4 linked regions of the Sus scrofa genome follow. The protein of the gene in region 3 purifies or fractionates together with the protein of the main gene of each other region. This does not show direct contact. Links are inferred from orthologs where the notes say so. Each region holds a gene or a part of one and is shown on either strand. Other genes may lie near its edges.

Region 1 (4,304 bases), about 7.1 Mb from region 3:
GGCGGCTGAGGTCAGACTGAAGCAACCCCAGCATGGTGTCTAGGCTGCCCTGGCTAGTGGGCCCTGGTGGGGATGGGGAGCCCTCATTCACGGAGCTTGGCACTGCTGGCTGGGTTGGCCCAGAGGCTGGAAGCTGCAGCAGGGAGGACAGGAGAGCTGAGTTAGCAAGGCAGCAGATGTGGGCACGTCTAAAATGGGTTGGGAGCCACACACCCACACTGGCCTACCACCTCCTCCCCTCGCCCCCCCCCCCACCTGACTCACGTGGTTCTGGACACGGAAGTCAGAGAGTGAGGCCATCAGTCTGTCTAGCTCCAGGGTGGCCGAGGTGGCCGAAGGCTTTGGGAGAACAGGGGTTGGGCTGGGAGGGCTGTGAAGAACAAAACTGTGTCAACCCAGAGCCTCAGAGTCACGCTTCCTCTAGTAACGCGGGCATCCAGGATGCATCACCACTCTCCCAGCCCTGTCAACTAGGCCAAACTCACGGGCTGGGCCTTTTCTTGTCCTCAGAGGGGTCCTCCTTCTTCTCCCCTGCAGATTCCTTGCTAGATGGGAACTGGGACATTATTTCATCTGCAGAGAGGAGAGAAGGGCACTGGGCATGGGCTATGCCCTAGCCTCCCTCCCATTTAAGGCTTGTGTCCCTTTAGCTGCTACTCTGGGAAGTCTATACCCCTTAGTCTCTGCTCTGCCCTGCCCCCATCCCATCAAATCCAGTCTCAGTAACCCTGGTACCTGTGATGTTGAACTGAGTAGCATTAAGTTCCTGAAGCAATCGGTCTAGCTCACAGAGACCCGTGCCCAAGACACCACAGGAAGAGGAGAACGGAGGGGCCGCAGGAGCCGCAGGCTTCGGGGACCGGGGCTTGCATACCGTACTGGGAAACAGGGTGGTAGCCTGGGTTCAGGGGTGGGGAATCCAAGCCTCCTCACCTGGAGTCTCCATTGGCTCCCCATTCCCCAGTTCCCAGCCTCCTCACCTGTACAGATGGTCCTTGTCCCCAGAGGCTCCTGAAGACTCCCCAGAGCCCATCTGCAGAGAAGACATAGGCATGGGATGATAGGCCTGAATTTGGCTCCACTCAGGCCCAGATTCCCTTTGCCCCCGCCAAACCCAGCCCTGGTGGTTGCCCCAGTACCCCAGCATCTGATCTCACCTGTGGCAGAGGAGACGTGAGGGGCTCCGGGGGTCGCTCTTTTAGAGCCCCTGACCTTGGCATGTGTGAGGTTGTGGTCTCCAGGTCAGAGAGCAGGGCATCTGCAGGAAGAGGCCGTCAGGGTGAGAGGTTGAGAGGTCAAGGTTAGGGCAGAGACAGGGCCTTAAGAGATCAGAAATAAGTGTTCTAAGTGGGAAGTAGTTGAGGAGGACAGAAGCCAGTTTTAAGAAGAGACGTCAAGAGTCAGAAGGAAACAAAGGCCAGACCAAGGCAGAGATGTAGGACAGCAAGGAATAAGTATGATCAGAAGAGCCCATATCGCTCATCCTAGGAGTCATTTACAAACTCGGCCACCTGATTCGCTTATTCTCCAAATCTTCTCTAATGCAGTCAAAATTGGCTCTTTATTGGAGTCAAATTTGGCTCCACCCCAAATTGCTCAATTGGCTGTATGCCTGGCACCAGCTTCCTGATTGGATGTCCTTTCTGCCCAACCCCCTACACCTAAAGAGGCCCCTCCCAACTCTGGCCCACCTCCAGACCCGCTGGGCCCCACACTATACACCTCATTGGTGAGTCTGCTCGGATCTTCTTTCTGATTGGCCTATTCTTCACAGAGCCAGCGCCTGTTACCCTTGCTGAACAGCACCCCCTACTGCATGGTGCTGGAACCCCTTCTCTTCTTCTAGCCCTACTTGCAACAGACAGGGAGGATGCAGATGCCTGGGTCATCTTTCCTTTCCCCAAAGAGACAGAAACACACACACACACACACACACACACACACAACACACACACACCTCCTCATCCACAGATACAGATCCTTCGAACCTTTTGCCTTCTAGAATCTAGAAGTCTCTGGCCCTTTACTCTTCACCTCTGAATACCTTGGTGAAACCCTTAACCTCTCCCTGGCATCTTGGCACCCATCTATTATACTTTCTGCCCCAAGGATCTGACCCCTTCCTTACTACTTAAGGGCCCTTAACTCTTTCCTTCCCCAAATCCTAGGGCAAGCCCATTTTCTTCTCCAGAACGTGATGTCAGATTCTCCCTTCTCTACTTTCCAAGTCCCTGGACCCGAGGTCCCTTTAACCCCTCCCTTCCCAGAGCTCCTGAGCTTAGGAGCCCACAGGCGCTGCACCTCCCTGCCCATCTGTCTGCAGCCAGTGATGGAGGAGCCGAGCGGGGGGAAGAAGGGAGGGAGCGGCCAGTCTGGGAAAGGCAGGAAGGGAGAGGCAGGAAGGGGGACGTGGAGTCGGAAAGGAGGCGCCGGCAGACACCAGAAGCGAGAAGACAGGAGGCAGGGATGGGGAGATGCCGGGAGTGCAGGGGGCTCCAGGATAGGAAAGCGGATCTAGGCAGTGGTGAGGGACTGGGGACAAGGGGACCCGGGCCCCACTCACCCAGGTCCTCCATGACGGGGCGCGGGCCGACCGCGCGCGGGGCGAGCAGGGCGGGGGCCGTGTCCGGTGGGGGCGGGGGTGGGGGGACGTCCGGGAGCTGGAGGCCCAGCCGTGACCATGTAAGGAAGCCGGGACCCGCTGGGATAGGGCTGCGGGGGGAGGGGGGGCAATGAACGGGAGAACCCGGGGTGGGGGCCTGGGAGGGAAGGAGGGCCCTGCCCACCCGGGCCCAGCCTGCCCGCCTCGGAGGCGGCCACACCCCAGCCTTGGCCTCAGCTGCAGGGAGCCCCAGGCGGCCAGAGCCCGAGTAAGAAAAGTGGCTCTTTTCCAGACCAAGCCCAGGATCATCTGCCCAGCAATACTTTTACACACAGACTGAGGCCCCCAAACTGACAGCACTCAAAACTAGCACCCAGGGTCTAGACAGAGCTCCCCTCCCACCCAGGCTGCTCCTGGAGGTCTGCTTCAGACAGATTTTCTTGGAGGCAGAGAAGGATCAGTCAGACCCCAGGTTCAGAGGCCTTCCCTTAGAGACTGTGACAATGACATAAACAGATCCCAAAAGTCAGACACGTGAGACACAAGGAAATTTTCCAGAGACAGAGACAGATGATACAACAAACCCACAGACCCCAAGCCATAGAGTTGGAAACAGACATATAGACACAGGAACAAAGAAACCTAGGCCCAAGCCCTGTGCAGACTGAGGGCAAACACTTCCTGGCAACCAGACCCCGACCAGACCCCAAGCAGCCTTCCCCAACACCGAGATGACCCAGACCTGTCCCCAAAGAGCCCTTTCCCAAGATACTGATGCACATAGACAGGAAAGCTGAACACAGCCTCCAGCAGCAAATCAGAAAAGCCTGGGAGCTTTTTCAACCTATGCCCAAGTTGCCCTGACCTCAGTTCAATTCAGTCTGAAAGGGCCTGGCATCTGTACATATAAAAAGCTCTCTGTGTGGTTCTAAAGCTCAGCTGAAGAACAGAGATCTGGACACTCCCAGAGGCACAGGGGTGGCAAGAGGCAACCTTGGCTCCCTAGAAACTGGCGAGCAGGCCCAGTCTGGGCACTTTCTTTGAAATCAGGCTGCCGCCTAAGTGGCCAGTGAGCTGGCAGCCAGGTTACGAAGACCCCGCCTGGGCAACTAAAACGACACGAGCCCTTCCTTCACCTGGATGTCAGCCTAGGGCTCGGGCTCCCTCTGGGCATGACTAAGGGCCTTAGGGACTTGAAGAACACAGTAGGTCTTCCCTCACCCAAACAGCAGGACAAATGGACCCAGAGACCGTAGGCCCAAGATGGGGGAATGGCACGAGGAAACAGTAAGGCCTGGGTCCGAGATGTACCCTCCCCATCCCCTTGGTACAACCCTCGTAGCTTTGATCGAGTGTCTAGCTGGATGGCTGCCTGAGCAATGAAGTAGCATGAGCTGAAAGCAGGCTTCCCCTGGGGCCCCAAACCATATCCTCAAGGAGAAGCCTGGAAACTTGACCGCATCCCAGGGCTCCAGGAACCAGTGCACAAGTATTTTTTAAGTTCCTCTGAGAGTGATCTGTATGGAGACACAGAGACCTGGAGAAGACGCTGCTCGAGGGGTGAAGGGGTCGGGGGACTCCCCTAGGAAAGTGAGCAGAGACACCACATGATGGGGGTAGTCACCTCCAAGTTTTTAATTTCAACTCCAGAAAGCTGGGCTAAGCCAAGTGCCCGGGCCCTGGGCTGTTGTTCTCTATCTCA
Region 2 (4,013 bases), on a different chromosome or scaffold from region 3:
AACCCAGAGCCAGGCCACAAGAGAAGGCCACCAGGGGTCAGAGGGTCGGCTCCGCAGGGCCCTGGGCACTTGTTTCAAAAGCCCTCAGTCGATAAGTGGAGACAACGAGGGAAAAGACACTTGGCCCAGGTCACACCTGGCTGCTCTCGGCGAGGCGCAGCGCCTGGGGCCACGGGCCACTTCCGGAGGCCTGCGACAGGCTGGGGTGGGGATGGAGGAAGGAGGAAAAACCATCCGGGTTCTTGGATGAAGGGCCGAATGGTCAGAGTTCCAAGTGTTAAGGTTTGAGGCTCCTCTAAGCGGACCGGGCTGGGGCCAGGGTGCAGGATAAGCCTGTCCCCCTGTGTGTTCCTCCTGCGCACCCCCCAGTCGCCGGGTGACAAAGGTTCAAGGGATAGTGCTTAAGGTAGCCTTCGCCTTCTGGCTCTCCTTTTCCAAGTCCTGCCCAGAATCACAAAGTCGGCAGGGAGCAGGCGGTGAGTTCCCCAGAGCTGAGAGGACAGCAGCGTGGAAGGCACAGAGGGACAGTGGCCTGCCCTGTCAAGAGCTAAGGAGTTCCGGTAGGACTCTCGCTCAAGGTCTATACAGTAAGTTACCCGCAAAGCAGTGGATGCCACGGGTAGCAGATTCTTGGTCACATCCAAGGTTAAGAGGGAAAAGAGGACACAGATCACTTGCACAGGAAACCCCAGCAGGCCGCCTGCGTCTTGCCCCATGGGAGAGCTTGGGTCGCACGGCACGGCATGCAGAGGGAGTTTAGGCTGCGGGTCATGGCTCTCTGAGGAGCCACCCCCTTCTGTGTCTACTCTTTGGCCTTTCTGATCAGAGCAAAATGGCAGGTCCACTGGCTAGACAATGGGGCTGGTCGTAGCTCCTGAGCAGGCCCTAGAAGCTGGGGCAAAGAGATGCTGCTCAAAGCAAAGTTGAGTGTTTGTCCTCACGGAACCTGACGTGGCAGACACAAGGTGGAGATCAGACCTCAGATCCTACCTCTGGAACTAAACTGACTTCACGCCGTTTACCAAGTCAGACGCGAGTTTGGAAAACACACTCCCAGAATGAACAGCTTCCCCTGTTTGCCTCTCACTTTTCCCCACGGAGGAGGAAGTCCAAGCACACAGCCCCTGCGGACCTCCGGGCTCCAGGGCATGAGGCTGCAGCCAATGGCTGCACACAGACTTCAGCAAGGCCTTGCAATACGCCTACACCAGGGGGTGCTGGGGTGATAGTGGCGCAAGAGCAGGAGGGAGAGCCCAGCCAAGCAGAGCTGGAGAGGCCCTATAACAAGCAGGTGGGCGAGCCCAGGCACGGAGAGGGAAGGGACCTAAGCCATGTCCTGCTCTAAGTCTGCTGCATTTAAGATGTGGGGCCTGGGGGAGACTCACCGATGCTCCCATGATGATAAAGATATGTGTATCCGACTGATGGAAAGCATCGCCCTGGTACAGCTCTTCCCGCAGGATCCCGCACACTTGGGTCCGGCTCAGAGCCACCTGCTCTGCCATGGTACTCTCTGGAGGAAAAAAAACTTATTGATGAGGCAGGAGAACCGGAAAGCACTGAGAAGCTGGCTGGCCCCTTTCTGGAGGAGTCCTTTGGGCTCTCGTCCAGCTGATGCCTGATTACTGAAACCACTTGGTGGGAATGGCTGCGAGCAGGATGGTTGGGGGATGAGAAACTGCTGGCTCTGGTCATACTCTCCAGACAGCCTTCTTTCAGCGTGTACATTACAACATTACTCTAAGCATTAGTGGACTCCAACGAGGGCCTCAGCTCTGGGGGAGTAACACCAAGCTGGAACATCGGACCACCTGCTAAGGCCATCTCACCAAGGATTCAGGCGGAAGCTCCTCAATGAGCTGGAGCAAGTTAGATCAAGCAGCTGACAGTGTAGATCTAGTCCTCCTCCACCACCGCTGGGAGACCCCGGCCAATCCCCGCCCCTCTCGGGGTCCCCTCAGGGGCCCAATGGGGGTATGCAGGGGACGGTTAGATCAGTTAACACCCTCTCGATTTTGCCCCCTTCCCAAGCGTGGCAAATCAAAGCGTTCGCCCACTCAGTTACCTGTGCTTCACCGCTGCTGCCCTTCGCGCTCGCAGCCCCGGAGTTCCCGGCAGTTTCCTGGGGCTGCGCCCCGCCTGCCCATTTAACTGGCGGGGGCGGGCACCTGGTCTGAGCTGACCAGCCTCAGGCGAGGCGCGCGGGCGGGGCCTCCGTGTGCCCCTCCCCCGAGAGGCGGGGCGAGGCAGGTGCGCGCGCATCTCGGGCCGGTGGGACCCCCCCCCCCCCGCTCCCGCGCGAGGCCTGCCGGCCTGACCCGCTCCGCCCCTTGAGCACCTGCGCCGGCCGCCGGGCTGCGGGCCCCCTGCTGTCCTCGCCGCCGCTGCGCCGTGTCCCCGATGCTTCGCGAGTCCGTGTGCAGCTCCCCACAGCTCGCCCGCGTTCCCATCCCTGGCCTGGCCCCGCCCCTACAGTCTGGCTTTCTCGTCAGCCCGGGGTTGTCCTGCGCCCTCAAGAAGGGCTCCACTTCCGCCGGCAGCGTGGTCACGCCCCTCGACCCCACTTGTAGGCGGGGCCCTCTTTAGCCTCGCCCCCTCACTGGACGGGTCGTCGACTCCGATCAAACTGGCCCTATCACATGATAGCCTCGTCGTGGCTCCTCCCCTAGTGGGGGCGGGGCAGCCGACCTGCCGCTCGCTGGATGCCGCCGCCGGAGAGACAAGGGGAAATGCGGGTCGCGACGCATATTATTGAAGAGTGTCCTACGGGCCAGCCGAGCCTGGTACGCTCGGGCTTCCGTCTGGGGACAAGTCTCCCTCGCGCCTCTCGCGGGCCTGCTGGGGGCGGGGTGGGGGCGGAGTGTGAGTGTTTTACTTCCGGATCCCACAGCTACGACACCGGAAGCAGGAAATGGGAATTTGGCAGCCCGAGAAGGGAAGGGCGACCGCGGAACCCGAACTTTCTCCGAGCGCCGGGGTCCGAGGAGCGCTCGGGACCCGCCGCTCCCGCCCTTCTCACGTCGGACCGACTCTGCTGACAGGTGTGGTCCTCTTCTCCGAAGATAGGGTACTATTGGTGGGCGTTCCGCCACCTCCGAGACCCCCCCTGGACGACCAGGCTTTCCCCTCCTATTGGGCCCCGGCCCGGTTCTGCCGCCCGCTTCTAGATCACCCGCCGAGGCTGGCCAATTCAGGACCCAGGTTACTCTGGCGACGAGCGGGGCAGTTTTCGCCTCTCCTTCCTCTGCCGCGGCGGAGTCTGACCACACCCCTAGTTCGTGGATGACTATTCTACTTCGGAGACATTTTCTGTTCATCGAACTTGACTACATTTGAAGTTGTTAAGTTCTTTAAAAAAGCCTCAAGGGTAATTTGACAGCTAAGCATCTTTCCTCATGCGCTTCATTTTGCTCACTTTGCACAACGGTTAATGTCTGCCGGACCTCATATCAGTTCTGTGACTTGAGGATGAATGGGCCATAAGGAGGCCACTATACCTGGAATAGAGTGAGCGAGGGGGGAATAGTTAGAGAGGAAGCAATGGGGGACCAGATAGTGCACGGCCTACTATCTTGTTGTACGGGTTGTGGCTTTTTGGCGGAGGGCCATGAGGAACTATGGTAGGGATCTGGATAGAGGAGAGACGTGGTAGGAATTACCTTTTGGTCTGATTGTTCTGGCGCGGTGGGTAGAACAGACTGTACGTAGGGGGCAAGGGTTGGAGCAAGGTGATCTGCTAGGAGGTTATTGCAGTTATCCAGGTGAGAGATGATGGGGCTCGGATCGTTTTATTGTGAAAAATACCAAAGATGTGCAAAAGTAGAAAGGATAGTATAAACCCAAGGTACCCACCTCCCAGCGTCAACAGTTATCAACCTGTTGCTACCTTTGCTTAATTTATACCCCTCATAATCTCTTATTTTCAAAAATAGCTTTATTGACATATAATTCACATACCACACAATTCACCCATTGAAAGTGAACAATTCACTGCTTTTCAGTATATTCACACA
Region 3 (3,024 bases):
CTCCCATCCCGTCTTTGCGGTCCTGCTCTTCTCCGTGGAGATGAGGAGGTTATGATGCGGTCAGGAAGGAACCCTGAGCTGCCGGGACGTCCCCCTCCCTCGCCCCCTGCCCAGGTGTCCTGAGTGCCTCGGCCGGGTGCCTCTCCTGGCGTCCCTGCTCCCACACTGGCCCCGGGGGCTTTAACTGCCGCATAAACAGTCTCTCCCTCAACAAGGGACTGGAGGGCAGGGCTGTGCCCTGTGATGGACGCAGCACGCACAGGGGCCAGCACAGGGCTTGGCACACAGGAGGCCCTCGGCAAACGTGATGAGTGCGTGAACCAGGAGTGACGCCTGAGCCTCCACAAGCACACCAGGGTCTGAGACAGTGGCGGGCAGTTGCTTTGAACTTTATTCGAGAAAAACAGAAGGTAGACGTATCAAAAGAGCACAGAGAGTTGGCAGGTGGGGATGGCTGGTGCGGGTTTGGGCGGGGGGCGGTGAGCAGCAGGGCGAAGGCCTTTACTTGGTTCCGGGCTTTTCCGACTTTCCAGCTTCTGTGCCCCCAAGCTGGGCCCGCGCCTCGAAAGTGACAGGGATGGTGATCTCTGCCGACTGGGTGGCTGGCTTGGGCAGCGGGGCCTCCACGCTGAGCGTGCCCTCAGGGGACAGGGAGGAGGAGACCTGGGTGGGGTCCACACCGGGGGGCAGCCTGGACAGGGAGAGGCAGGACAGGAGTGACCCACGGTGCGTCCCTGGGCCCTCCCCACCCCCCACCCCACCCGGAGCCAGGACTCACGTGTATTTTCGAGTGAAACACCGGGAAATGAAGCCGTGCTCATCCTGCCGCTCCTCGTGCTTGCCTGGGTGGGGGAGGGAGGTCAGAGGAGGCCTGAAGGGGCCGGCGCTCCCGCTGGCCCACAGCCAGCCGAGCCCCACCCGGTGGCCAGAACGCTTGCCAGGAGAGGACTAAGGGATGTGGGTACCCCAGACCTGTCCCGGGACCTCAGAAGCTTCTGGAAAGTTCGGTTCCAGGAGTCTGGGGCTGGGGCGTGGGGCAGCAGCCATGGGCACGCACACACGCCCCCTCCGAGGACCTGGACTAGGGATGGGGAGGAAGTGCGTGCGTGTGCGTGCGCGTGTCGGGGGAGGGGGTCGCCCTTGCCACACCAACTGCAGGCCGGGGGCCGGGGGCCGGGGGGGGGCGGCGCGGCGCGGGGAGACCTGGTCCCTCGCGGATGGCGTTGGGGCTGAGGGCGTCTCCGCTGGAAGGGGGCGTTTCTTCCCTGACTGGAGAGCTTTTAGGGCCAAAAGATCCCTTAGGACTTAGGAGCACCCCCCCCAAAGTCCAGGGAAGCAGGCACAGGCCAGGGGCAGGGCGAAGAGGCCAGGCCGGCTCCCCGGGCTCTGGCCCCGTCCTCGGCTAAGTTTCCATTTTCCAGGGCTCCTCCCCGGAAAGAGCGCGAGAGGCAGCGCGGGAGGGGCGGGGGGTGGGCGCGTCCCGGTCCCCGGGGGCTCACCCGTGATCTCCACCACGCCGTCCTTGGTCTTGACCGTCAGCTCCTCGGGGGCGAAGTGGTTGACGTCCAGGGAGACGCGCCAGCGGTCGGCAGTCTGCTGGATCTCCGAGACGCCGCTGCTGAGCTGCCTGCTGAGCAGGCGGCTGTAGGCGGGCGCGGCCACTGCGGCGGGGCCCTCGATGGCGGGCGGGGGCAGCGGGCGCACGTAGCCCGGCCAGCCGCTGTGGCTCAGCCACTGCGACCACTCCTCGGGCAGCCGGGGCAGCCCGAAGGCCTGGTCGAAGAGGCGGCTGTGGGCCGGGTACCAGTCGCGGAAAGGGTCCCAGCTGGGGCTCCGCAGGAGCGAGAAAGGCACACGGCGCTCAGTCATGCTGGCTGCGCTGGCTGGACGCGTCCGGCTGCGGCTGGGAGAAGGGGAGTTAGTGTCGGTGGGCCGAGCCCGCAGCGCTTTTATAATGGGCCAGCCGGGTATTTTTAGCAGGCGGTGTTTCAGGTCTCTATTAATGGCAATGACTGGCTGGGGGCAGCCCCTCCCCCTGCATTCCCCCAACTGCATACCGGGGCGCGGGGCGGGGCGAGGGAGGCCCTGCCCACATCTGGAACCTTCTCCTGTTTGAGAAAACAAATGACTGTAGCCCCGATGCTGGTGCAGTGCCCGCTGCCTAACACTGGCAGATTTCGGCGCTAAAGCGCTGGGCCGCAGCCTGTGGACAGTCCTGGCTTTTTGTGCAAGAGGACAAAGCCGAGGGAGTGGTCGCGCTGCTCGGGGCCACACAGCAGGGACTGGCAGAGCAGGGAGATGGACCACAGGGTGTCTGTGAAATAATGGCTTAAGAAGCAACATGGTGAGGAGTGTGGGCCTGAGAGTCCAGACTGTGTGAGTTCACATCCTGGTCCTGCCACTCACTGGATGAACTTGTACAAGTGAGAGTCTTTGTGCCTCAGTTTCGCCACCGGGAAAATGGGGGTGATGATGATGACAATGCTTCCGTCCCTGAGTTGGTGTGAGGATTCGGCAGCTTAATGCGAGTGAAGGTTTTAGTCCAGGGCCTGGTGGGTGACCGTTACTGTCAGCCACCTGGAGTTGCAGGGCACAGACGGAGGAAGCGGAGCTCAGAGGCAGCAGCATGTGGACGTTTGGGCGATGTCCCCCGGACCCCCTAGTAGGGGAGACCCAGACCAGAAACCCTGAGGCCTAGTGTTGAAAGGGGGTCAGGAGGGAGGTTATTGTCAAAACTCCCCATTGTATCCACTTTGCCTTGAGCTGGGGACAGGGAACCTGAGATGCAGCGGCCTTGAATCTAGTCTGGGCTTTGGCTTGGGCCAAGGCCCCTCCTTTCCCTTTTTACAGATTATGACCTCAGAGCCCTTTTGTTTAGCATTCCCACAGCACAGAGGGAGAGGGGCTCTAGGCAGTGCAATTCCTGCACACTTGCTGGGAGCCTGAGGCCTGCTCCTTGACCCCACCTCCTGGGTGAGCACCTGTGGGATCCAGGCCTCCACTCCCACCTCCCGTAGGGTCTGG
Region 4 (4,088 bases), on a different chromosome or scaffold from region 3:
CAGCCTTGGAAGTGGTCGAGCACTCCTGGGAGGCCATCCCACTAGGGCCCTTCGGGGGACAAAGGAGTTTCTCTAAGGAATCCCTTGCCCCCTTGAGGGACTGGTTCTTGCATCCCTTCTGCACACTCCGCCATCAGTCCCAAGGACTCCCTCCTGGCCAGTGCAGGGGAAGGACAGGGTCTCTCTCAAGGGTGTGGCCCTTCCATACCTCGCCAGAATCCAAGGAGGCTTTGGGGGGTTCTGCAGAGTGGGCAGAGGTGGCCTGGGGGAGCCGAGCCCTTCTCTTCTGTCTCTCGCCCTCCTCACTCTTGTCTTGCATCATTGCATATTTGGAGATGACCTCATCCAGTCGGCTCATAGCCAAGCTCCGGTTCTCCCGCAGGCGCCGGGCTAGGACAGGATCTGACAGGGCAGGATCGACACCTGCATGGGAAGACATAGGTCAGAGCACTCACCCAGAATCCTAGAAGGAGGGACTCCAGAGAGCTTCCTCCAGCATAGGCCAACACACCAAGGGACTGGGGAGACCCTGCTAAGGCCTACCTGGCCTGTAGTCGTCTGTGAGGTGACAGCCGAAGTTGTAGATGAGATCGAGGTGGCGACGTTCCTGCAACCTGATGCCCACATCTCGGAAGGCATCCTGAGCCATGAGCTGGAGCTGCTGTCGGGGGAGGCCAAGGCTGTGCCGAGCAGCTGCCTTCTCGACAGCCCGAAGTACGTCTCCATAGTCAGGGAAGGTATCAGGCCCTGGCTTGTTGATGAGCCGCTCGATGCGCCTGTTCACCTCCGGGTAGCGGGTGCCCCGGTAGGGGATGCGCTGCTCTATGACCCGGCCCGTCAGAGAAGAGCATTCTTTGAGCTCACACAGCCGCCCAAAGAGGCGGATCAGCTTACGCTTCAGTCTGGCCTCCTGCAGGTAAGTGGAGTCCGGGTCGTCCAGTTCTGAGAGATCCAGCTCCTTTTCCTGCAGCCGCCGGATCTCTGCCACATAGAGCGCAAGAAGCTGCTCCAAGCGCTGGATCTGCCGCCGGGAACCACGGGTCCTTGGGGCCTCAGAGGCAGTGGTCTCAGCATTTATGGGGTCCGAGGAGGGGCCTGTGGGGGGGTCATTCCCGGAGGGCTCACTAGAGGTGGTGGCAGCAGGGGCCAGGTTCATCTTCTTCTTGGCCGAGTTGGCCTTGAGAACAGTGCAGAGCTCGTTAATGTAGACATAGAGCTTGGCGGGCCGGCTCTGAGCCCGGGAAAGGACCCGAGAGAGGATGTTGTGGAACTCCGCCGAGGCCAAAAACAGTGAGTGGGCCCGCTGCTGCCGGCTAGAGAGGAACGGGACCACCTCAGGGTGGTCTGCTGTCTGCCTCCTACACAGTTCAAGGAACTGGAAGGTTCACGGGGAAAGGGACAAGGGATGGGTTGAGAGAAAGAAGGCGAGGTGGGGTTAGTGGGGAAGACAAGACAAGAGAGCCAGTCGGCCAGCCCCCTCCCTGGAGTACAAGAATCCTCTCCCCTAAAGCTCACCTCTTTAAACAGCTTCTCATTCTCCAACTTGTAGCATTTCTTGCCGCCCGAACTACTGCCTCCTCCAGCCCCATGGGGCTGGGAGGAGCCAGGGGCTTCTGCCCTGGGTGAGGCTGGAATGGGGGCTGCCCTGGGTGAGGCTGGGTTGGGGGGTGGGTGGGAGGGCCCTGGCTGAGCAGCTGCTTCATCTTCGTCATCATCATCCAGCACGATGATGCTGTTAGCGGTGGCCATGGGGGATCAAATCCCCCGGAGGGAGGAAGTGGTGGGGTTTTCGTGATTCCTGCTGGAAGGGGACGGGGCCTCAGAAAGAGCCCCTCCAGCAGAGCCCCATCCCTTCATCTCACACATTTTTGTCTTCTTGGTTTTCAAAAACACCCAGCCATGCCCAACAGTGTCCTCACTGCCTGTCTTCAGCAACCATTAGTACCGTGTTTTTCTGTCCCTTTACTACGAGAGCCCCAAACCCTCGGAAAACCTGAAGTCCCACCCCCAGCTCCACCCCTCACGTCGACATCCGGTCTTTCGGTTGCATTTCCCCACTATTTCTCATAGGTGGCAAGTTGATTCTTCTCAACCCCGGACCACCTCTCACACTGCACTCCAGATTTCCTCGACACCCCCTGGAACAGATACCACACCCTCGTTGGCACCACCTCCCCGTGTCCCCCTTCCGCTCTCCCACAGGTTCGCCCCGTCCTGTAGGATCACCCCAACTCCCAGCCTCTCCGAGGCGAGGGTTGGTCCTCCCCACATCCACTCCCCTTTCTCCTGCCAAGACCACCTCCCTACCCCGCCCTCCGGTGGGTCTCCTCCAGCCGGGGCGGCAGTCGGAGATAGCTCGGCTCCAGTCCCCTCTCTCTCACACCAACCCGAGCCTCCCCATTCTCTCCGTGTGACCTGTAAGCGACCGTGGGCCCCACACTGGTCTCTCCTGCTTGCTCTCACACTCTAGTCCTGAGGCCGGCCCTGCCCCCGGAGGAGCTTCCCGCCAAGTCCCCCTCCCCCAGTTCAGCCCCCGGCCCCCCCACACCCCTTCAGGGATAGTAAGGAAGGTACCTCAGCCTGCCCCTCAGACTCAACGCCCAGGACTCCCGAGTACCTCGACCTCGACATTCCCGCCCCGCCTTCGCCCCCCGCACCGCCCGGCCCCACCTCAGAAACGGTCTCTCGAGGCGACACTCGCCGCGGATCTCAGAACCTCGCATGGTTCCCTCCGCCTTCCTTCCCCCTCCCACCGCAGGCCCTACTCCGGACCGGAAGCGGCGGAGTTTCCGCCTACAGGCTCCTGGGTGCGGCCATGTTGCCGTACGGATCCCAGTCTCCCCAGTGGCCGGAAGTGACAGTAGGCCCGCCTCCTCGAGCACCTCCAGTGCCGCCCACATAGTCTGAGGCGCCTTTCTCCCTGACCTGCAGGGGGCGGATTTGCGCCCCTCCATCCCCCATTCGGGGCCTCTCAAGGTACATGCGGGCCGCCATTTTCCCGTACGGCGTTGGCTACGCCCCGAGTGGGGGCGCGCCGCCAGTGAAGCTCTTTTCACCCGGTGCTTCTGCGACTCGGCCAATCAGAAGCTTCCCGCAGCCGGCCAACCGCCAGCGCGTCGCGTGCGGGGAGGACAGAGCCACCTTCCCAAGGGGGGGGGGGGGGGTACGGAACAGAGCAGCAAAGGAATTGAGCCCTCCGAGGCTGCACAGGGATGCACGGAATGGGGGGAGCCTCTTGAGAGGAAAATAAAACCTTTTCCATCCGCGGCGCTATTGACAAGCCCTCTGGCGCCGATTTCCTACCTGCCAGGTACCAGTTTCCCTGGCTTAATCGACTGTACCTGCCATTCCCTTCTATGGGCCCGCTCTCCTTTTCGCTGTCCAGCTGCTACTTCTACCGACAGGTGCCTACTTCGCCCAATTGCGAAGTCCTAACACGGGATACAAATGAGCACCACGAGCTGTACAAATGTGTTTTATTATTATTGTTATTGTTGCTGGTTTGCTTTCCACTACAGAACTATTGGCCAACCAAGTAGGTAGAATCTAGGTGGTTCTACGACGTCTTTTCTGGAGGAGGTCCCCGAGGCGGAGGCGATGATGGCCGGGAGGCCGGGCTTTGTCCAGAAGCTCCAGGGCCTGAGGACGGGCGTTGTGAGGAGGAGGAGGCTCTGAGGAGAATCTGCAGATTGCCGCTGTATGGACTGTGAGACGAAATGAGGCTCGTAAAAGGCCTCGGAGTCTCGTCTTTTCTTCTGGAAGTGCTGATGAAAGAACAAAAAGAGAAGAAACCAACTTTGACGCCCGCCTCGCCTGGACCCCCACCTAGCCCAGCTTTAGGGAAGCTGGAGGGACTCACGGAAGCAAAGCTGGGTCCAAAGGTGAACTTCTGGGGAAACCAAAAAGTTAACACCGGTCCAGTCGCTGAGTTTCCCACCTCTTGGATCCCTGCATACTCCACAAATGTTGGGCATCTTGCCACTTTATTTTCTTGTTGCACATTTAAAGATAAATTTTATTAAAATATAGCAGAAGAGTTTCCGTAGTGGCTCAGTGGTTAACAGACCCCACTAGTCCCCATGAGGTTC

Evidence for each region.
Region 1: the proteins of HSPB1 (region 3) and TGFB1I1 purify together in Homo sapiens (affinity purification with western blotting; 3 studies listed by BioGRID). This does not show direct contact. The link is inferred for Sus scrofa from reciprocal best matches to the Homo sapiens genes HSPB1 and TGFB1I1.
Region 2: the proteins of HSPB1 (region 3) and G6PD fractionate together in Homo sapiens (co-fractionation; 3 studies listed by BioGRID and IntAct, with this or other methods). This does not show direct contact. The link is inferred for Sus scrofa from reciprocal best matches to the Homo sapiens genes HSPB1 and G6PD.
Region 4: the proteins of HSPB1 (region 3) and DAXX purify together in Homo sapiens (affinity purification with western blotting; 3 studies listed by BioGRID and IntAct, with this or other methods). This does not show direct contact. The link is inferred for Sus scrofa from reciprocal best matches to the Homo sapiens genes HSPB1 and DAXX.

Annotation. Positions count from the first base shown.
Region 1 is NC_010445.4:17,096,402-17,100,705, forward strand, and holds the start of TGFB1I1 (transforming growth factor beta-1-induced transcript 1 protein), read right to left. Parts: upstream 2,804-4,304; 5' UTR 2,577-2,803; coding exon 2,564-2,576; intron 2,340-2,563; exon of another isoform or gene 1,958-2,339; intron 1,937-1,957; exon of another isoform or gene 1,723-1,936; intron 1,652-1,722; exon of another isoform or gene 1,512-1,651; intron 1,320-1,511; exon of another isoform or gene 1,259-1,319; coding exon 1,158-1,258; intron 1,034-1,157; coding exon 981-1,033; intron 879-980; coding exon 736-878; intron 574-735; coding exon 486-573; intron 371-485; coding exon 265-370; intron 134-264; coding exon 1-133. UniProt on the Homo sapiens protein: Functions as a molecular adapter coordinating multiple protein-protein interactions at the focal adhesion complex and in the nucleus. Links various intracellular signaling modules to plasma membrane receptors and regulates the Wnt and TGFB signaling pathways.
Region 2 is NC_010461.5:125,038,238-125,042,250, forward strand, and holds the start of G6PD (glucose-6-phosphate 1-dehydrogenase), read right to left. Parts: upstream 2,804-4,013; 5' UTR 2,784-2,803; coding exon of another isoform or gene 2,703-2,783; 5' UTR 2,451-2,702; coding exon 2,339-2,450; intron 2,212-2,338; exon of another isoform or gene 2,066-2,211; intron 1,514-2,065; coding exon 1,386-1,513; intron 1-1,385. Other genes in the region: IKBKG (NF-kappa-B essential modulator), read left to right, coding at 2,703-2,783. UniProt on the Homo sapiens protein: Catalyzes the rate-limiting step of the oxidative pentose-phosphate pathway, which represents a route for the dissimilation of carbohydrates besides glycolysis.
Region 3 is NC_010445.4:10,037,573-10,040,596, forward strand, and holds HSPB1 (heat shock protein beta-1), read right to left. Parts: upstream 1,870-3,024; coding exon 1,500-1,869; intron 843-1,499; coding exon 779-842; intron 692-778; coding exon 502-691; downstream 1-501. UniProt on the Homo sapiens protein: Small heat shock protein which functions as a molecular chaperone probably maintaining denatured proteins in a folding-competent state. Plays a role in stress resistance and actin organization.
Region 4 is NC_010449.5:29,678,343-29,682,430, forward strand, and holds the start of DAXX (death domain-associated protein 6), read right to left. Parts: upstream 2,804-4,088; 5' UTR 2,671-2,803; intron 2,600-2,670; exon of another isoform or gene 2,575-2,599; intron 2,139-2,574; exon of another isoform or gene 1,802-2,138; 5' UTR 1,750-1,801; coding exon 1,516-1,749; intron 1,376-1,515; coding exon 544-1,375; intron 424-543; coding exon 209-423; intron 50-208; coding exon 1-49. UniProt on the Homo sapiens protein: Transcription corepressor known to repress transcriptional potential of several sumoylated transcription factors. Down-regulates basal and activated transcription.